3 linked regions of the Lonchura striata genome follow. The protein of the gene in region 3 purifies or fractionates together with the protein of the main gene of each other region. This does not show direct contact. Links are inferred from orthologs where the notes say so. Each region holds a gene or a part of one and is shown on either strand. Other genes may lie near its edges.

What was found. Proteins that work in one complex are often made in the same cells at the same time.
Region 1: the proteins of SUGT1 (region 3) and RNF41 purify together in Homo sapiens (affinity purification with mass spectrometry; 3 studies listed by BioGRID and IntAct, with this or other methods). This does not show direct contact. The link is inferred for Lonchura striata from reciprocal best matches to the Homo sapiens genes SUGT1 and RNF41.
Region 2: the proteins of SUGT1 (region 3) and CEP97 purify together in Homo sapiens (affinity purification with mass spectrometry; 3 studies listed by BioGRID and IntAct, with this or other methods). This does not show direct contact. The link is inferred for Lonchura striata from reciprocal best matches to the Homo sapiens genes SUGT1 and CEP97.

The regions. Positions count from the first base shown.
Region 1 is NC_134629.1:5,463,345-5,470,519, forward strand, and holds the start of RNF41 (E3 ubiquitin-protein ligase NRDP1), read right to left. Parts: upstream 3,225-7,175; 5' UTR 3,156-3,224; intron 1,355-3,155; 5' UTR 1,222-1,354; intron 1-1,221. UniProt on the Homo sapiens protein: Acts as E3 ubiquitin-protein ligase and regulates the degradation of target proteins. Polyubiquitinates MYD88. Negatively regulates MYD88-dependent production of pro-inflammatory cytokines.
Region 2 is NC_134604.1:734,109-741,144, reverse strand, and holds the start of CEP97 (centrosomal protein of 97 kDa), read right to left. Parts: upstream 3,225-7,036; 5' UTR 3,203-3,224; coding exon 3,031-3,202; intron 2,801-3,030; coding exon of another isoform or gene 2,491-2,800; exon of another isoform or gene 2,379-2,490; intron 1-2,378. Other genes in the region: ZBTB11 (zinc finger and BTB domain-containing protein 11), read left to right, coding at 2,491-2,800, 5,659-5,894, 6,535-6,766. UniProt on the Homo sapiens protein: Acts as a key negative regulator of ciliogenesis in collaboration with CCP110 by capping the mother centriole thereby preventing cilia formation. Required for recruitment of CCP110 to the centrosome.
Region 3 is NC_134604.1:59,043,998-59,051,175, reverse strand, and holds the start of SUGT1 (protein SGT1 homolog), read left to right. Parts: upstream 1-4,031; 5' UTR 4,032-4,104; coding exon 4,105-4,136; intron 4,137-4,216; coding exon 4,217-4,262; intron 4,263-7,178. Other genes in the region: ELF1 (ETS-related transcription factor Elf-1), read left to right, coding at 1-525. UniProt on the Homo sapiens protein: May play a role in ubiquitination and subsequent proteasomal degradation of target proteins.

The DNA of each region.
Region 1 (7,175 bases), on a different chromosome or scaffold from region 3:
AAGGCAGGAATTCCCATGGAAAGGCAGGAATTCCCATGGAAAGGCAGGAATTCCCATGGAAAGGCAGGAATTCCCTGGAAAAGGCAGGAATTCCCATGGAAAAGGCAGGAATTCCCTGGAAAAGGCAGGAATTCCCATGGAAAGGCAGGAATTCCCTGGAAAAGGCAGGAATTCCCTGGAAAAGGCAGGAATTCCCATGGAAAGGCAGGAATTCCCTGGAAAAGGCAGGAATTCCCATGGAAAGGCAGGAATTCCCATGGAAAAGGCAGGAATTCCCACGGAAAAGGCAGGAATTCCCTGGAAAAGGCAGGAATTCCCATGGAAAGGCAGGAATTCCCATGGAAAGGCAGGAATTCCCACTGAAAGGCAGGAATTCCCATGGAAAAGGCAGGAATTCCCATGGAAAGGCAGGAATTCCCTGGAAAAGGCAGGAATTCCCATGGAAAAGGCAGGAATTCCCTGGAAAAGGCAGGAATTCCCTGGAAAAGGCAGGAATTCCCATGGAAAGGCAGGAATTCCCACGGAAAGGCAGGAATTCCCATGGAAAGGCAGGAATTCCCATGGAAAAAGGCAGGAATTCCCTGGAAAAGGCAGGAATTCCCTGGAAAAGGCAGGAATTCCCATGGAAAGGCAGGAATTCCCATGGAAAGGCAGGAATTCCCACTGAAAGGCAGGAATTCCCATGGAAAAGGCAGGAATTCCCATGGAAAGGCAGGAATTCCCTGGAAAAGGCAGGAATTCCCATGGAAAGGCAGGAATTCCCATGGAAAAAGGCAGGAATTCCCATGGAAAGGCAGGAATTCCCATGGAAAAGGCAGGAATTCCCTGGAAAAGGCAGGAATTCCCTGGAAAAGGCAGGAATTCCCATGGAAAAAGGCAGGAATTCCCATGGAAAAGGCAGGAATTCCCATGGAAAAGGCAGGAATTCCCATGGAAAGGCAGGAATTCCCATGGAAAAGGCAGGAATTCCCTGGAAAAAGGCAGGAATTCCCACGGGAAAAGGCAGGAATTCCCATGGAAAGGCAGGAATTCCCATGGAAAAGGCAGGAATTCCATGGAAAAGGCAGGAATTCCCATGGAAAAAGGCAGGAATTCCCACGGAAAAGGCAGGAATTCCCATGGAAAGGCAGGAATTCCCATGGAAAGGCAGGAATTCCCATGGAAAAGGCAGGAATTCCCTGGAAAAGGCAGGAATTCCCATGGAAAGGCCGCTGGGGTTACCTCCCGTGGCAGAATCCCGGGAATGCCGCAGGGCTGCGCTGGCCTCGCTCTCTGCCGGGAATTTCTCCCAAAATTCTCCCATTTTTCCCTCTCGTCTCCCACAGGCGGCGCCGCGAGGTCCGGCAGGACGGATCTGATCCCAGGAAAGAGAAAAAAACGGGAAAAGTCACCTGGAAATCCCCGGAAAAAACACCCGGAAATGCCGGGGAAAGCCACCAGGAAATTCCAGGATAAACCACCTGGAATTTTCTGCATAAACCACCTGGAAATTCCTGGAAAAAACACCTGGAAATTCCTAGGAGAACCACCTGGAATTTCCTGGAAAAATCACCTGGAATTTCCTAGAAAAAACACCTGGAAATTCCTAGAAAAAACACCTGGAAATTCCTAGAAAAAACACCTGGAAATTCCTGGAAAAGCCACCTGGAAATTCCTGGAAAAATCACCTGGAATTTCCTGGAAAAATCACCTGGAATTTCCTGGAAAAAACACCTGGAATTTTGTGCATAAACCACCTGGAAATTCCTGGAAAAGCCACCTGGAAATTCCTGGAAAAGCCACCTGGAAAAATCACCTGGAATTTCCTGGAAAAATCACCTGGAATTTCCTGGAAAAGCCACCTGGAATTTCCTGGAAAAGCCACCTGGAAATTCCTGGAAAAGCCAATTCCCACCTGGAATTCCCAACGATGGGAAGAAATCCTGCCCTGCTCTGCTTTTTTTTTTGGGAATTTTGGGAATAACGGAGCCCCCAGCCAGGCTTGGACAGGGATCCACACTCAGAAATTTGGGAATTCCATTCCCAGTGGGATCCAAACTGAGAAATTTGGGAACTCCAGCCCAGTTCCCACTGGGATCCAAGCTCAGAAATTTGGGAATATTTTGGATTTTTCCCCAAATTTCCCTGGATTTTGTCCAAAATTTCCCTGGAGTCTTCCCCAAATTCTCTTGGATTGTTCCCCAGATTCTCTCCCCAAATTTTTCCATATTTTCCCCAAATTCTACTGGATTTTCCCCAGATTATTTTGGATTTTCCAAAAACGTCTCTGGATTCTCCCCCAAAATGTTTCTGGATTTTCCCCAAAATGTCTCTGGATTTCTCTCCAAATTTTTCTGGAGTCTTTCCCAAATTATTTGGGATTTCCCCCCAAAATTATTTTGGATTTTCCCCCAAATTCCTCTGGAGTTCCCCCAAATTTCTCAGGATTTTCTCCAAATTCTTTTGGATTTCCCCCAAAAATTCCTCTGGATTTTCACACAAGTTTTCCCATATTTTCCTCAAATTCTCCTGGATTTTCCCCACATTATTTCAGATTCCCCCCAAATTTCTCCATATTCTCCCCAAATTTTTCTGGATTTCCCCCCAAATTTTCTCTGAATTTATCCCCAAATTCTTTTGGATCTCCCCCCAAATTATTTGGGACTTTCCCCAAAATTTCTCTGGATTTCCCCCATATTCCTCTGATTTTTTCCCAAATTTCCCCCAAATTTCTCCATATTCTCCCCAAATTCTTTTGGATCGTTCCCCAAATTATTTCCGATTTCCCCCCAATTAATTTTGGATTTCTTCCCCAAATTTCCCTGAATTTCCCACCAAATCATTTTGGATTTTCCTCAAATTCCTCTGGATTTTCCCCAAAATTCCTCTGGATTTCTCCCCCAAATTCTTTTGGATTTTCCCCAAACATTCCTCGGGATTTTCCCCAGAATTTTCCCAAATTTCCCTGTATTCTCCCCAAATTCTTTTGGATTTTCCCCAAAAATTTATCTGGATTTTCCCCAAATTCTTTTCAATTTCCCCCGAAATTCCCCCGGCTTTTCCCGTTCCATTCCCGGTACCCGCTTCCCCCCCCCCCCGCGGCCTCTCCCGGTGCTACCGGGAGCCCCGAGCAGCGCCCCGGGGCCGCTCCGCCGCCGCTCCCACAGCGCACGTACCGCGGGGGGCGGGCCCGGCCCGCCCGGGGCCTCTCGGGGCCTCCCGGTGCCGCCCGGTGCCGCCCGGGGCTCAGCGGCGGCCGCGGCCTCCTCCCGGTGCCGCCGCCGCCGCGCCGGAAGTGCCGCCCTGGCCGGAAGTGCCGCCCTGGCCGGAAGTGCCGCCCTGGCCGGAAGTGCCGCCCTGGCCGGAAGTGCTGCCCTGGCCGGAAGTGCCGCCCTGGCGGGAACTCGGTGGTAAAGGCGGAGAATGAGGGAATGAGGGGGCGTGGTTTAGCCTCCTAGTCCCGCCTTTTCTCCATCGCTATTGGTTGGGCATGCTGCTCGTCAACCGCCTCCCCGCGCGCTGATTGGCTGCGGTGGAGGACTTCCGGGATCGCCCGCGGCGGCGGCGGCGGCGCCGGTCCCGGTGAGCGCGCGGCGGGCGGGGCGGGCGCCCCCTGGCGGCGGGACCGGAGGAAGGGAGCGCGTCCCGGTCCCGGTCCCGTTCCCGGTCCTGCTCCCGGCTCTGCTCCCGGTCCTGCTCCCGGCTCTGGTTCTGCTCCCGGTCCTGGTCCCGGTCCCGGTGGCCCCGGAGTGTCTCTCGTGGGTAGTCCCGATCCCGCGGTCCTGTCCCCGGTGTCCCGGCCGCCCTCGCGTGGCGGGACGGGAGGGAGCGCGGTCCCGGTTCCACTCCCGGTCCTGGTCCTGGTTCTGCTCCCGGTCCCGTTCCCGGTTCTGCTCCTGCTCCCGGTCCTGTTCCTGCTCCCGGTCCCGCTCCTGGTCCCGGTGTCCCCGGAGTGTCGCTCTTGGGTAGTCCCGTTCTTGTCCCCGGTGTCCCGGCCGCCCCCGCGTCCCCGCGGTCCGGTGGTCCCGATGCCCATCCGGGATGTTCCCGGTGTCCCTCCGGGATGTTCCCGGTCCCGGTGTCCCTCCGGGATGTTCCCGGTCCCGGTGCCCATCCGGGATGTTCCCGATGCCCATCCGGGATGTTCCCGGTGTCCCTCCGGGATGTTCCCGGTCCCGGTGCCCATCCGGGATGTTCCCGGTCCCGGTGTCCCTCCGGGATGTCCCCAAGCTCCACCCGCGATGTCCCGCCCGGCTCCCGCCGCTCCATCCCCGGGTCCCGGTGTCCCCAAGGTGCCACTCAGTGTCCCCAGGGTGATACTCAGTGTCCCCAAGGTGCCATTCCCTGTCCCCAGGGTGCCATTCCACGTCCCCAGGTGCCACCCCGTGTCCCCATGGGTCCCATCCATATCCCCGCTGTCCCCTCAGGTGCCACCCCGTGTCCCCAGGGTGCCACCCCGTGTCCCCAGGGTGCCATTTGGTGTCCCCAGGCTGCCACCCCGCATCCCCAAGGTGCCATTCTGTGTCCCCCAGGTGCCACTCGGTGTCCCCAAGGTGCCATTCCCTGTCCCTGCTGTCCCCAGGGTGCCACCCCGTGTCCCCAAGGTGCCACTCAGTGTCCCCAAGGTGACATGTGGTGTCCCCAGGGTGCCATTTGGTGTCCCCAAGGTGCCACCCCTGTCCCCAAGGTGCCATTTGGTGTCCCTGCTGTCCCCAGGGTGCCATTTGGTGTCCCCAAGGTGCCATTCCCTGTCCCCAAGGTGCCACCCCGTGTCCCCAGGGTGCCATTTGGTGTCCCTGCTGTCCCCAGGGTGCCACCCCGTGTCCCCAGGGTGCCATTTGGTGTCCCTGCTGTCCCCAGGGTGCCACCCCGTGTCCCCAGGGTGCCACCCCTGTCCCCGCCGGCCGCGCCGCCGCCATGAGCGCCGAGACGTTGGTCAAGGACGTCAAACCCGGCCTCAAGAACCTCAACCTCATCTTCATCGTGCTGGAGACCGGTCGGTGCCACCCCCGTGTGCCCCCCGTGCCCCGGGTCACCCCGATGTCCCCGGGTCACCCCGATGTCCCCAGGGTCACCCCGATGTCCCCGGGTGACCCCGATGTCCCTGGGTGCCCCCGATGTCCCTGGGTGCCCCCGATGTCCCCAGGGTCACCCCGATGTCTCCGGGTCACCCCAATGTCCCCAGGGTGCCCCCGATGTCCCCAGGGTCACCCCGATGTCCCCAGGGTGCCCCCGATGTCCCCAGGGTCACCCTGATGTCCCCAGGGTCACCCCGATGTCCCTGGGTGCCCCCGATGTCCCCGGGTCACCCCGATGTCCCCAGGGTCACCCTGATGTCCCCGGGTGACCCCGATGTCCCCAGGGTGCCCCCAATATCCCCAGGGTCACCCCGATGTCCCAGGGTCACCCCGATGTCCCCGGGTCACCCCAATGTCCCCAGGGTGCCCCCGATGTCCCTGGGATCACCCCGATGTCCCCAGGGTGCCCCCGATGTCCCTGGGTCACCCCGATGTCCCCGGGTCACCCCGATGTCCCTGGGGTCACCCCGATGTCCCCAGGGTGCCCCCGATGTCCCTGGGTCACCCCGATGTCCCCGGGTCACCCCAATATCCCCAGGGTCACCCCGATGTCCCCAGGGTCACCCCGATGTCCCTGGGTCACCCCGATATCCCCAGGGTCACCCCAATGTCCCCTCGCTGTCCCCCCCAGGCCGGGTGACCAAGACCAAGGACGGCCACGAGGTTCGGACGTGCAAAGTGGCCGACAAGACCGGCAGCATCAACATCTCCGTGTGGGACGACGTGGGCAACCTCATCCAGCCCGGGGACATCATCCGCCTCACCAAGGGGTACTGGGGACCTCTGGGGACACTTGGGGACACTTGGGGACACTTGGGGACACTTGGGGACACTTGGGGACCCCACTGTGACCCCCAAACCCTCCTCATCCTCAGCTACGCCTCCGTCTTCAAGGGCTGCCTGACGCTCTACACCGGCCGCGGCGGCGACCTGCAGAAGATCGGCGAGTGAGGAGCAGCCTGGGGGGTTTTTTGGGGGGTTTTTGGGGGGTTTTTGGGGTGCCAGGGGGGTTCTGGCACCGGGGGCACCCCAAAAAGCCGCGCTGCGCCCGCAGGTTCTGCATGGTTTACTCCGAGGTGCCCAACTTCAGCGAGCCCAACCCCGAGTACGCGGCGCAGCAGGCGCAGGGCAAGGGGGTGAGTGTGGGGGGCACGGGGGGTGCCCGGGGGGTCTCAGCTGAGATTGGCACGAATCTGAGGGGATTTGCACCGAATCCCCCCGGGTTGACCCCAAATTCCTAAAAAATTACATCAAATTCCAAAAAAATTACATCAAATTCCAAAAAAATTACATCAAATTCCAAAAAATTTACATCAAATTCCAAAAAATTTACATCAAATTCCAAAAAAATTACCCCAAATCCTCATGGATTTGCACCGAATCCCCCCGGGTTGACCCCAAATTCCTAAAAATTTACATCAAATTCCAAAAAATTGACCCCAAATCCTCATGGATTTGCACCGAATCCCCATGGATTAACCCCAAATTCCAAAAAATTTACATCAAATTCCAAAAAATTGACCCCAAATCCTCATGGATTTGCACCGAATCCCCCCGGGTTGACCCCAAATTCCAAAAAAATCACATCAAATTCCAAAAAAATTACATCAAATTCCAAAAAAATTACATCAAATTCCAAAAAATTTACCCTAAATCCTCATGGATTTGCACCGAATCCCCCCGGGTTGACCCCAAATTCCAAAAAATTTACCCCAAATCCTCATGGATTTGCACCGAATCCCCCCGGGTTGACCCCAAATTCCAAAAGATTTACATCAAATTCCAAAAAAATTACCCCAAATCCTCATGGATTTGCACCGAATCCCCATGGATTAACCCCAAATTCCAAAAAATTTACATCAAATTCCAAAAAATTGACCCTAAATCCTCATGGATTTGCACCGAATCCCCCTGGATTGACCCCAAATTCCAAAAAATTTACATCAAATTCCAAAAAATTTACATCAAATTCCAAAAAAATTACATCAAATCCTCATGGATTTGCACCGAATCCCCCCGGGTTGACCCCAAATTCCAAAAAAATCACATCAAATTCCAAAAAAATTACATCAAATTCCAAAAAATTTACATCAAATTCCAAAAAAATTACATCAACTT
Region 2 (7,036 bases), about 58 Mb from region 3:
TGGCAAGATACAGAATCAAATACGGAAAAGGTAAAAAAAAAGGAAAGGATGGTTTCACAGACTGCATGACTCTTACACACAAAGATTCAGATGCAGCTTCTGGGTCAGGAAGTTCCAAAATTATGCTGGAAGCTGTTGTTAGGGAAAGGAAATGTGTGAAGATTTGGTTTCAAATGCAGCTGATGTTACACAGTTAAAGCACATTTAGGTTCATATTTAACTTGCTGAATGCAGCTAGGGGCTCCCTTAGTAATTTTCCACCCTCCCACTGCTAGAGGGATTGAAATTCCTTATGGGAGTTCCTGTGTCTGCTAAGTAACTGCACTGTGCAGACAGCTTGCCCAGACTTTGCCGGTTTTGCTGGACAGGAATGGCCTTGGCAAAGCAATGTCCTGATTAACTAGAACCAAAACAGAAAGCAAACCTTCACTATTTTCTGTATCAGTTACTTTTCTGTTGATACTGTGAGGGCTTGATTTGTTACCTTACGACCAGTCAAGAAGACGGCTGTGTTTCAACTTCCTGCAGTCCTGGGCTTCGAAAACAATGGCTGTAATGGGCACTGTGGATTATGGGCTGTACTTAACACCTTGTTTGGGTTTTAGTAAAATAGATATGGGTCTGGATGAAGGCTACAACCCATTTAAAAAGGTCTGGCTTGATGATATTAATTGAATCTGCACCATGATCTTCCAAACAATTTTGCTTTTTGCTATTAACAAAATCCAGCGCTACTTATTTAGAAAGAAATTGGAAGCTAGTTAGCACGTTTGAAAGCAAAGGGTCCAGAAACAAGAGGGGAAAAGAGAGGAAGAAAAATTGCCTGTAGTTAGGAGGGAAAGGAATTATAATAATTTAATACTGAAGGCTGAAAACACCTCTGAATATTACCCGTGCTAGTGGCGATTATAAAAATCACATCACTGTCTTCTACAAGACACCTGGTACCCTGAATGTGTCCTTGTGAATATTTTCAGCTAAGAAGCTGAAAATAAAGATGAGTTTTTACCATCTGCTTGAAATACCATTAATGATATATACAGAAACTGGCAGATATGACTAATTAATAAGTTAGTATTTGTTAATGCTTTGAAGTTTGCAGGCTTTGGCTGCCTGGTGTCACTGCAGCAGTGCACAGAAGGGCTTCACAATTTCTCTTCCTTGCTGCTTATTCCCGAGTTGTGATATGAGAAGAAGAGTGACAGCCCATCAGGTTACTCTTCTGAAAAGCTATGCACTGAGTGAGGCAGGCTGTTCAGAGCAGAATAAACAGCACTTTATTCACCTCAAACACAGATGTAATAGAATGAGTTACGGAAATTAATGTAAGCCCTTGTTCACCTAATTTAATGTAGTTGAGCCTCTATCAGGTATTTGTCAGGAGAAATTGCGTACCTACGTTTGTCACAGACCTACAAAATAATTTTGGTTTAAAAGGACATCAACTCTGTTGAAAATGCGTCTGTTTAGATGGGATTTAGTATCCAGCTGAGTCTTGAACACAACTCCAAGGACAGAGATTCCATAACCTAAGGCCGCCTGTTCCAGTATTCGACCAGTGCCATTGTTAATCCGAAAAACTAAATACAGAGCCCTTTTTCTACATAAACAGCGCTTTTGGGCGGCTTTGCTCAGTCTGGTGGGTATCTGTGTGTGGGGACCGCGGTGCTCCCCGTGCGCCCCGCAGGTACCGAGCGCAGGGAAAGGGATGGGGAATGGAACTGGGAATGGGAAACAGCCACAGCCCCCGGCTCCCGCCTGGCGTGCCTCTGTTACGGGCGTAAAAACCAGCGCACAGCTCGGACAAGCAAAACGCGCAGCCGCCTTCTAAAGGACTTTGTTTCTTGCCCCTTACGGACGAACAGCGCGCCCCGAGCGCCCCGGGGCGTGGCTGCGGCGCTGCTGCTGCTCCCGCTGGGCACGGGTGACCCCACTACTCCCCTGGCAGCTCCTGCCCGCCGAGCAGGAGTTTGGGAGCCGGGGCTGCACAGGGGTTCATTCCAGGGGTTCATTCCTGGCATTCGTTCCCTCGGGAGCGCTCCCGGCTGCACCGCCGCAACCGCGCCCCGCGGCGGGCTTTGCCCGGCTCCGACATGGCGGCCCCGGCCTCGCGCCCGTGCTCTGCCCTGCCCGGTTCCGACATGGCGGCCCCGCCTTGTGCCCGGGCTGTCCCCTGCCCGGTTCCGACATGGCGGCCCCGCCTTGTGCCCGGGCTGTCCCCTGCCCGGTTCCAAGATGGCGGACCCGCTCCCCCCGCCCCTTCCCCGCCCCTCCCGCGCGCGCGCGGCGCCGCCTCACTTCCGCTTGTGCAGCAGCCATTTTGTCTTTCCGCCGCCGCCGCTGCCCGAGCTTCTCCCTCCCTCCCGCCGCCGCGGGCCGCGACACTCCAGTTCCCCCCCGGCGCGGCTCCCGCCGGGCCGGGGCCCATCCCGACCCCCTTCCCGCACCCCGGCAGGCTCCTCCGCAGCCCCTGAGGGCTCTGAGGGCGCGATGTCCAGCGAGGAGAGCTACCTGGCCATCCTGCGGTACCTGACGAACGAGCGGGAGCCGTACGCGCCGGGCACGGAGGGCAACGCCAAGCGGAAGATCCGCAAGGCCGCCGCCTGCTACGTGGTGCGCGGCGGCACGCTGTACTACCAGCGGCGGCAGCGCGACCAGCAGCGCTTCGCCGAGCTGGAGGTGGTGCTGCAGGCCGAGCGCCGCGCCCGCCTCATCCGCGCCGCGCACCTGGCGCCCGACGGCGCGCACCGCACCCGCCTGCAGACCTGGCACGGGCTGTCCCAGCGCTACTGGTGGAGAGGTGAGAGCGCGGCTCGGCGCGGCTCGGCTCGGCTCGGCTCCCCTGATGCGGGCTCGCAGCCTGTGCCAGCGCGCCGGCGCCTTCACTCGAGTGCTCTGGTTCTGTTCTGTTCTAGCTCCTCGCGTTCTCGCGTGGAACTTCCCGTGCATTAGTTTCCCTTCCTTGTGTCATTGCTTGGCACCAGCGGGACCTCGCTCCGTGCTCCTGGCACTCTCTATTTAGATATTTACCGACATTATGCGGTCCCCTCTCAGTCGTCTCGTCTCGAGGCTGAGCGGGCGCAGTTCCCTCAGCCTTTCCTCCTAAAGAGATGATTCGGTCCCTTAACCATCTTCGTTGCCTCCGCTGTAGCCGGAGTTGCATGTCTCCCTTGTGCTGAAGGTCTCCCTTCCGTGTTCCCATCCCTGGCGGGACAGGAGGGACTGTCACTCGCTGAGTGACCAGAGCCTTTAAACGCCACCTGGAAGCAGTGTGGCAGTGAGATGTGTCACAGCCCGAGAGGCAGGGCTCACCCTGCGCGCTGCATCTGGTCAGCGCATTGTCCAGGCTTCTGGTCGGGTGCTGGCACCTTGAATAGGTAGAAACGCGGAGTACAGCTGTCCCCTCCAGGTCTTGCACGCAGCCCAGGTAAGGCAGTGGCATCTCCACTGTGCCCTTGGGATAGGGTGATAATCCAGTCCACGTCACCTGTGTTAGCTTTGGACCTCATTCGTGCATGTGATGGTGTTCGTGTTAAAGTACTGCAGCTGCCAGTGGTGGTTGGCAGTCCTGGCATTCATTGCTTTATTTGTCTCCTTCTTGCAGCGACACGCTGAAGAGACCAGGCTAATTCTCAGCTGGGTCCTGAGTGATGTCACAGCTGTTAGAAATGCTGGTGCCTGAACAGCAATCATTTCCAATTGGGATTTTCTTTTGCCTGAGGAAATGACTCCATATCTTGTTCCCTTTCGATTTGCTGTTCTGCTTTTAGCCCTAGATATCCATGAAACAAATAGCCTGCTTTTCACTTGCCATGGGCCCAGTGTGTGTTTATGTTTATATTGCTTCTCTTGTTCTGCTCTCTTCATCCATCAGCAAGTCTGTAATTTCAGCTTTAGTTTTCCCTATTTTCAGTTGGAGGGATTTTGCTCTAGCTGCAGTCAGTCCCTCCAGTCCAGATCTCATTGACTTGAAGGTATTTTCATGTGAAGAAAGGGTTTGGCATCTCAAAGCTGATACACCCATTTTTGTTTCCTTGCCTTTATTTGCATTCTCATTGTCTGCTCAGCATTGTGCTGTTCTGGCATCTACTCTTATCCTGTGCTGGAAACTTTCTCCATGGGCCTGCCTCAGTGTAGCTTCTGTTAGTCAGGAGAAGGCATTCTGTATTCTTTTGATCTTATTGGTCACCTTTATTTGCACACCCTAAATCCTCTTGCTTCTCTTACACTGAGAATACTAAAATTCATTCCATGCTTTCAGTTCAAGTGTTATGTTTCTTACATATGTCTCCCTTAAGACAATGTTTTCCCAGGCATGACAGTACTCGCTGGCTGCTATGGACAGCAGCTTTGGCCCAGCTGCCATCCTGAGAAGGACATCAGCCTGCTGTGTGTCTGTTCTGTAGCTGCAAGGCCATGGGCTGGAGAATGGCTCTGAGGCCAGGAAGGGTGTTAGAGATGTGATTTGCAGCCCCTGTCTCATTTCAGATGAAATCAAGGAGATGTACAAATGTTGAAATGGGAATTAATATCTTAGCTTGCCTTAAGTCTCTGTTTTCCTCACCCTTGCAGAGACAGGTATTTAATGATAGTGCAAGTCATGCTCTGAGGAGATGTGAGCAAGCAAGTCTTAAGTCTGGGTCAGCAAAGCTTTTGAGCTGTGCTGGATTTTAAATCATGGCCACCTGCTATACGTGCTTTTATATTGTGCTGGTGAAGAGAACGAACTTGGATTGAAAGCCATGCGTGGCAAATGCCTTGGTATCTAGAAGAGGACCCTGCACCTAGGACCTGTTGAGTGTCTGAAATGATTTACAGAATTGCAGAAGGTGCTGAGTGGGAAGGGACGCACAAGGATCACTGAATACAGCTTCTGGCCCTGCACAGGACCATCCCCAAAAGGCACAAGAGTCATTCCTGAGAGCATTGTCCAAACACTTTGTGAACTCTGTCAGGCTTGGTGCTGTGACTGCTTCCCTGGGAAGCCTGTTCCGGGCCCAAACACCCTCTGGATGAAGAACCTGTTGTTAATATCCTACCTAAACCTCCCCTGACACAAATGCAGGCTATTTCCTTGGGTGCTCTCATTTATATTTAGTTCCACTGGTTAAAGTAGTGGTGGGAAATGGAGTTATTTAAATCCCAAAATCATAAGCAATTGTTTTAAATCAGCATTAATAGTTCCCATCAGTGTCATTGCATGTAGCACCGTTGATCCCAATTTTGCTAAAGCTCATAAGTGAGCCTTCCAATTCTTGTCCTCTTCAGGAGGAGCAAGCCATTTGTGTGGGCTAAATACAGGATTACATTACATTTGTCATTACCTTGGGATGATGAGACTAAATTTCTGAATACCGTGTTGGGTTTTGTTTTAGCCTTAATAACCTTTCTAGGAGGGTTTTCTTGATGTAGTGGTATTCAGAATGTTCTGTCTCAAATTAGCAGTAGAGACATACAATATATTGCAATGGTGAGACAATAGAATTGATAATATTGCATTAGAGAGGGAGAGTGTAGGTGACTCGCTTTATTTTTCTTGGTTAGTATGTAATATTTTTGATTATTATTGATATTTTGCTAATCTTCTACATAGTTATTTGTTTACAGTAAATGGAATTAAGATTAGAAGCCTAATCAAGCTCCATTAATTTTTTTTAGGTATTCTTAAGCAGGTTAAAGATTACATTAAAGAATGCAGCAAGTGCCAGGAAAAGCTAGATCGTTCTAGATCTCTGTCAGATCCTTCTGAAATGCTGGAGGAGCTAGGACTGGATGCAAAATCTCATGAAGACAGTAATGAAACAGATGATGAATTGAGTAACACAGCATCAATCCCAGCAGCATCCCCAAAGCCTGTGAAGAAGAAGCCAATAGCAAAGCACGAGCTTGTGTTTGTAAGTACCACTGTTTACAGCTGAATAGATTTGCATTTTCTATTACTGCTTTCTTGGTCATGTACTTCTTTTCCATTGTTGTGGTAATCTTGTTACAGCAAGACTATAAATTTTGCCAAAGATACCGAATATGTAGAAATGGGATACTGGTGTATATGTCATGAAATTAATTACAGGACACCATTGCTGGGAAATAAAATCACCCTATATATTACGCATATAGAATCTAAGGTAAAGTGAATGGCAGTAGTAAAACATCACATACCCGATTCTTATGGGCTCTATATCTTTCTCTTAACACATGATGCTGTACTGATATGTAAACTTCTTGTTCATAACTGCAGGCTCACATGCACATAAAAGACATTTGAATTTAGAAACTTTTTCAGACTGTAACATAGAAAAATACAGTCAAAGAGCTGTTTGAATATGTCTTCCCATTTTCCCAGTTGGTTTTAATTGTGTTTGGAGGGAGGGTGAAACTTAAAGAAAGAAAACAATAGTAAAGTTAAGCTGTATATTCTCCAGGCTTGAACTGATTGTATGGTTGCAGAAAATAATCCTTTTCTGTGTTTCAGTGTGAATGCTTAAAAAGGCACAATCTAAATGTAATGAAGTTCTTAAATGTTGTTTATGACAGGTTGACAGTAAGGGCCTTGTGAAGCAGTCATCTTCCAAACATTGTCTGTCAGTCTTAAACCAGCTGAATCAGCAGAGGCTTTCCAATCAGTTCTGTGATGTGACTTTGCTGATTGAAGGAGAGGAGTACAAAGCTCACAAATCTGTCTTGGCAGCCAACAGCGAGTACTTCCGAGAGCTCTTCATTGAAAAGGGAGCTGTCACTAGTCATGAAGCTGTAGTGGATCTGTCAGGTGAATTGCTGTGGGTTTCAAAGCTAGAAATCTATAATATCCTAAGTAAGGTGTACGGTATTTAATTCAGTCTTTTTTGAGTGTTAAAGACAACCAAATTTTATCTTGCTTTTTTCTCTATTTTAATCTAGAAATATTTTGTGTGGATTGTAATGCAAAAGTGATCACTCTGATTTTGCCTAATCTGATTTTCCATGGACTGTGGTATTTAACCTTAAAATTTCTGAGAAGCTTTTGAGGGATTTTTACCTTGCTTAGGCATGTTCCCTC
Region 3 (7,178 bases):
ACTACAGTGATAGCCAGTACAGATCCAGCCTCAGTAACAACAGCACAGAAATTCATTTTACAAGCCATTCCTACTTCCCAGCCCATGACGGTTCTTAAAGAAAACATCATGCTACAGTCTCAGAAGCCAGTCTCACCTCCTTCCTCGATTGTGCTGAGTCCAGCACAAGTTCAGCAGGTGCTCACCAGCAGCGTGCAGACAATTTGCAATGGAACAGTCAACATGGCTTCATCTCCATCCTTCAGTGCCACCACCCCTGTGGTGACGTTCTCGCCCAGCAGCTCACAGGTGGTGTCTCAGCCATCAGGCACGGTGATCACTTCGGTCATTAAAGCACCGGACATGAAGCAGGTTGACCTACAAGAAGAGGAAAAGGAGGAGAGTGACAAAGCAGAAGATACTGAGCAGTCAGAGCAGAGATTCCAGCAGCAACCATTTGTGATGGTAGTGTCCAGTTCGAATAATTTCCCATCTAACATGCAAGTGAAGCAAGAAAATGAGCCATTGGAACCCAATTTGTATTGATAATTAAATAATTTTAAAAAAACTCCTGTGGATGATTATTTTCATAAATGTGATGGGACCTTTTCAGTTATGTATATATTATTTGATTCTGAAGCATGATTGTTGCAAAGCTACTAAAATTCTGCAGTTAATTCTTAGAATTCATGCTTTAAAATGGATTTTGATTTTCTGTTAATTGCTAAATGTTATCATATAAATAAAATTATATATTACTCATTTTTCAAAGTACAGGCATGAAGGAACATGCTTTTTATTCTATTAAGACTTTCTCCTGAGGTTGTTGGCCAAAGTTTCAAACTTCTCTTATTTTGGTGTCAGTCTGTTGCTGATTTACATTACAGTAATGTTATTGTAACCTTTTCTGTTTAATCTGTATGTGTATCACCTTTGGAAGCAGCAGTTAGTTTTAGTAAGACAGTTTCATTCCATGTGTCTGAATATTTGTGATTGAGTACCTGTTTCATATCAGTGAATGACATCAGTTTTAGACTTTGATAACCAGGTATCCTCTTGGATGTTTTGCAGCACAAGTTCTTGTGTGTGCAAAATTGAATATACACTCCTACTGAGAGTATTCAAAACAAGTATTCCAGAAATGGACAATGCCATGTCTATATTTTATATGGAAACATCAGATATATTTAATTACAGAAGCTAACGGCATCACTACAGGTGCAAATGTTTTATGCCATTTTGCGACTATGAAGCTTAACAATCTTGCTTTCTACTTCAGATTATTTTGTAAGGGGGGAGGGAAATTAAATATATACAATTTATGCAGGTTTTTGGAGATTAATACTGCTAAGAGTTCTTGGTTTTGATTGTAAATACTGTATATTCAATGTTGCAGGGAAGTTTTTTCAGCTAATTTTTTCCATACAAACTTTTGATAGATGCAAATAAGATCAATAAGATTGTTATGTTTAGAGGTCTAATGTTATATGTATTCATATTACTGAGTGACTTTGTATTTAAAGACAAATTTTTAAATGATGGAGCCCATGGAACCTTGGGTCCTTCTTTTGTATTTTTAATTGGTTTATTATGAAAATAAATCAAATGGAAAAAACATTTTCCTGTATTTACTCCAAAATGTTTTTTATTATTATAAAGTTTTGACGATCACCATGAATAAGTAAAATACAGTGAGAAACAGTACAGGGTGATTAGTCAGTGTGGGTCTATGGTGGAACATGAGCAATTCACAAATCACTTCTGAACAGACTTTAACGCAGTCAGTCAGTGTGCTGTCAGTATCCTTTGAAACAGCAGTAATGTATATTTTTGTAACTGAACTGAAGGTTGTGATAAATCCAGGAACTGGACTTAAACTTCTTTTCCATCACTTCCCAGTATGTGACAAAGAAACAACACGAAATTCTGAGTGTAATTCACAAAGGTGGTTGTAACTTGTATGATACAACTGACAGCCCAAACTATTAGGGCTTCAAAAACTTGCATGTTGCAGTGTTTAAGTAGAGGGCAAGTTAATAATAAATATTGTGCCTGGTATTATGATTCTGTCAGTATAAAATGAAAGGGAATATGACTTTCTATGATTGAATTAATGTTGGAGTTTTATTGATTGGTTGTTAAGGTTAAATATGACTTGGAGCACTAATACTAGAAAAACTAATAGGAGTAGAAGAGTGGCAGAGAGAGTATGGTCTTGCTGCTTGACAGAAGGAACTCTAGAAACTATTGAACAAGCAATTCTCTGCCACAGCTGCCCTGTTAGTTCAATGCTTCTCTCTGACTCTTTACAGCCACGTTTCCACCTGCAAACCCAGTGCCTCACCCAATTTACAGGAAGGCTGGTCATACCCACACCAGTGGTTGTTTATCTGACAGCACTCCCTGCAGCTAGGGAGTGCTGGCAATATTTTCAGGAATGTGGATAAGCTTTGTGGAAGCATATCTGGTAATAGTCCTCACTCTGAGGGCTGTGTTAGATTGACAGAAGCACTGGAGAGGGAGGCTAATTTTTTAAATCAAACTACAACATAGGGATGTTTTCCTTTCATAGTTCTAGAAAATCTGAAGTGGTAATGCTTGACTGACATAAGTGGTTTTAGATACAGGGACATTGCTTTGGTGTTTACTGGAAATGTGGGGGGAAAGAAATTTGCACCATAAGATTACAGCTTCACCAACAAAATTTCATGCCATAGATGCAGCTATTACACATGGAAAATGATTTGTCAGTTTAGTTTTTGTCAGTTGGAGAAGTGGTGGAAATCTCCAGCAGCAATAATGTGTCTCCAGCAGCGGACTGTTGTGTAACACACAGTAAATGGAAATCACTCCCTCCCCATATCCCTTGGGCTCTGGTGTGCCAGCCGGGTGGATCTGTGCTTTGAACTCTCGTTGATATGGCAAAGGAAGGGAGAAGCTGGAGCAAATAATAAAATGAGAGCTCACATTGGGAGTTTGAGCAACCCCTCCCGTCACAGCTGCCTTTGTGCCTGTGGCAGCAGCCAAACAAAACATGACAGCTTAAGTCCCAGCCACCTCTGAGTCAGAAAATAAAAATTGAAGCCTTGGTTCTTGTCCACACATGTGTGAAGCCACAGAGGGAAAAAAGGCACTAGTTTATTTTTGAGGCACACAGAAGGAAATGCCATCTGGAGGAGGTGGAGGAGGATGGAGGCCACAGGCTGTCTTTGTGAAGTCCTGTCCACCACCCTGTTGTCCTGAACATGGGCTGGGTGCCTGGTGCACAGCACCAGCTGACACACTGAGAGGTATTTCTAGTTTTTATTCTGATTTGCACAAAGTAGGGAGCTAGGTCATAACCCACAAAAGGCTGGTTCTCTGATTACTAAAACTTCACACTGGTTATAAATTTTAACAAACAAAGGCCTCCACTGGTTACAGATTTTATAACTTTTTTGTTAATTAATACTCTAACCTCTCTTGCTAGAGGTATTATAAACTGCACCAGTGGAGGTTTAGGTTGGATATTAGGAAGAATGAGGGCAAGCAGATACTGGAATGGGCTGCCCAGGGAGGAGGAGGTGGAGTCACCATCCCTGGAGGTGTTTAAGGAAATACTGGACTTGGCCTGGCTGTCACGGTGGTGTTCAGTCAGCGGCGGGACTCGATGATCATTTCCAGCCAAACGGACTCTGCGATCTCTTGCAGTTCTTCCCTCCCTCTGCCCTGCTTTAGGAGGTGTCGGGGCGTCCCCACGTCCCACTGCCGCAGTGACCTTTCCGCAGCTCTGCCCAGCCTGCTGACAGCCAGCTCCTCTGGTGATTGTGCTCCCTTTTCCTTTAACACCGCCCATCAGCCACGCCTACGATGCTCACAACGCAACTGCGCAACTACTCAACCATCCCTGCTACAGCTACCGGTTAACAACCGGAAAAAAAATTGCCGGCTTCGATACAAATCCTCGGCAGCTCGGAGCCCGAGGCGCCGTCTCCCCGGCGGCAGGCAGGGGGCGCTGCGCGGCGGGCGGGGCGGGGCGCGCGCGGCCGCTCCCGCGCCTCCCGGCAGCCCGCGCGCGCGGCCTGGCGCGGTGCGAGCGGCGCGGGCCCGGGGCGGCTCCAGAAGTTTCGGGGGGCGACGGGCGGCATGGAGGAGGCGGCGGCAGCGGCCCCGCCGCGGTGAGCGCCCTCCTCCGCCCTGCCTCCCCCGCGGCCCCGCCGCCCGCCCGCCCGCTGACGGCGTTGTGTTTCCTTGGCAGGTTCTCGGACGCGGACGTCGACCGGGACCCGGGGGTGGCGGCGCAGGTGAGGGCCGGGCCGGGCCGGGCCGGGCCGGGTCCCTCGGGGGTCCCTCGGGGGTCCCTCGGGAACCCGGCTCAGGTGAGGTCGGGCTGCAGGGGAGCCCGGCGCAGACCTGCCACAGTGCTCGTGTTGCCTGTGTGGCAAAGAAGGGGTTGGGGGGGGAAAGCAAAACAAACCAACTTTCTCTTCCGTGTAGGTAGATGATAGCTCACACAACTACATCCGTTAAGATTTGTGGGTATAAAACCCCAAGTTTATTGAAGAGAAGTTTTTCATCTTAGTTTTTATTTTGCCCTGGTCTACTTTATTCCACTCCCTACATTTTGTGGGCATCACGACTGATCTTCCATTCATCTGCATAGAAAATAATTTTTATGTAGTGGGAACGATCTCTCACTGAAACACCCTCCCCACGGACGTGGTAGAGTCCCCATCACTGGAGGTTTTCAAGACTCGAATAGGCAGGTTGCTAGATACTCTAATCTAGGCAGGCTTTCCCATGAAAGGTTAGATGAGATGATCCTTTGAGGTCCCTTCCAACCTGGCCTGTTCTATGTCTTCATCACTTAGTATGTTTTAATGTGTTTTCGAAGATAATTTTTACTTAGATGGTTGATGAGAAGACAGAGCTGGAGGGTGGCTAAGTATTTCTATTTAACTACTTGGGAGGGGAGAGGATGTAAATTGTTAGTACTGCTTGAAGAGAGTGGGTGGTAGAACCATTAAATGATACTTAATTATCTTTCCACAAAGAAAATGGTGAAGCTAAATTTTTCACTATTTTAGGGTTTAGGCTGTAACTTGTAGAAGTTTTTCAAAAGATAAATGACATTTAAAAACCAATTTGGAATAGCCAAATCTATATGGCACAACAAAAATAATTAAAGATCTAAAAAATGGTGTAAATTTCACATTTTGTAGTTTAAAAAAAAAAAACCAAAACAAAACATGAGGGAACAAGCTAAAAATCCCTGACACCAGGTCTTCAGAAGTATTAAGGAATACTGTTACAATGTGGTTTTGTATTTTTTCCTGGATTAACATAGTTGTTTTGCTTTTCTAGCTTCTATTTCAGTTCTTTGTGCATTCAGTGCTTCAGAACATTATGTAACCCATTCTATAGGCATTATTTAATACCTGACACAGTAATACTCGTGTCAGTTGTTAGGCCTTGTTTTCAAATCCCTGGATTGAGTAGGCAGATTGTGCTTGGTGGTCTCTGAACTGGTAAGTGCCACAGCTCAGAGCAGCATTTTCCTGACTTAGAAAATTTCCAGGTGCTACACTGTTCTGCATGGTCTTATGTGTGATCTTTATGTTCATGTGCTTAATATTTCTAATCTGGGGGATGATTGTGTAGACATGGTGCTATGTAATTTCTTTCATACCTGGCTGGGCTTCTGTCCAGTTGGCCTAGCATTTCTGCACTGTGTCCTTGGGATTCTTCTTGATTGCTTTAATTCCTGGAGGTTGTGCTTTGGCTTTCTGTACTTGGATCTGATGCAATTGAAAGATCATCATCTATCTTCTAATACTTTCTGAATGATAAAGATGTGAAATCATGAATGACTTCTTATTTTAAACTGAAAATGTAAGCTAGTACGTGGAGACAGAAGGTGCCTTTAATTCAGGCAAACTCTTTACCAAATTTTTCAGTGTGTTTAGAAACAGATCTGCAATTTGGTCACATGGTAAGGGCCTTTAGAGTCAAAATATGCAGAAAGCACATACTTGAGTGTGAGGACAAAGTCTAAGCTTGTTCTGAGTAACTGTTGCTGATGTCCATAGTCTGGAGTTCCCAGTGCTAGTCCAGTATGACTTGGCTTCTCAAATAGCTTACAGGAGTTACTTTCTCTGTGTGTCTGGATGAGATATGGTAACCTACTGATAAAAAGCACACAAAGAGAGAAGTTTTACACTGTTGAAAATGCTTGGCATTGCTTTACTTTCCTGGGGTGAGGGTTAGTTTTGTAGGAAGATCCATTTATGTGTTGCTGACTCTAATCAGTGCATCCGTCATCAGCATAAATCGCAGGAAATAATGTTTGGGGGGGAGAGGTGATCTGTCAAAGCAGTTGCCTCTGCACCTGAATATGCCTGTGATGTTCAGTATCAGAGTCAGGCCCTGCTTGGTGCTTCACCTCTCAGCATAATATGAACCAATTTTAATATGTGCATTGCCTCACATCCCTGCCATGTGGAATACCTGTAGCCATGAGTGTTTCCATAATGACAGCTGCTTTTGAATGACTTTAAATCTCAGGAAGGCATCAGTAAAAGTGGATCAAGTTACTGCTGCCTACTGCCTGCCCCTTTCTCAGAGACCCCCCAAGGATCTAGATTTATGTGCTGTACCTCTATAGAGGTGTGTGTATGTTACACAGTTAGAACTCGTGCCACTGCTAGAAGCTGTTCTGGCCACATAAGTCCTTGGTGGCATAAACACTTTATGTGACATCTGCTAGAAAAAGACACTGGTCTGAATTAGAGCTAAGGCAAGTCCTACTTCCCTTCTTTTTTCCCTGTCTTGGTGGGATAGAGTTTTGGCAGCTGTGCTGTACAAATATTTATGCAGGTTTAAAGCTTGTATCTTAGCTATGTTCATGCTTACTAGATTCCAGGTAGAAGTCTTGAGTAGAAGTCAGCTTAGCAAACAGAATTACTGTACTGTAGCAGTGTAATGTAGTTGCTTTTGGAAGACTGGTTTCTAGCAAAGGGAAGAACTCTCACCAGTAAGCAGAGAATTGGAAATGCTCTTTTCAGCTGTGTGCTTCAAGTTGCTGTGGTTTTACTCTATGGCCAAACCCATTAACTTTTCTCAGAGAGAGCAATGTGTTGTTATTTCAATCCATATATCCTGTGATTCTCTTTACAAAGGACTACTTTATGCTTATTTTCATTGTTCAATAATACCTCCTC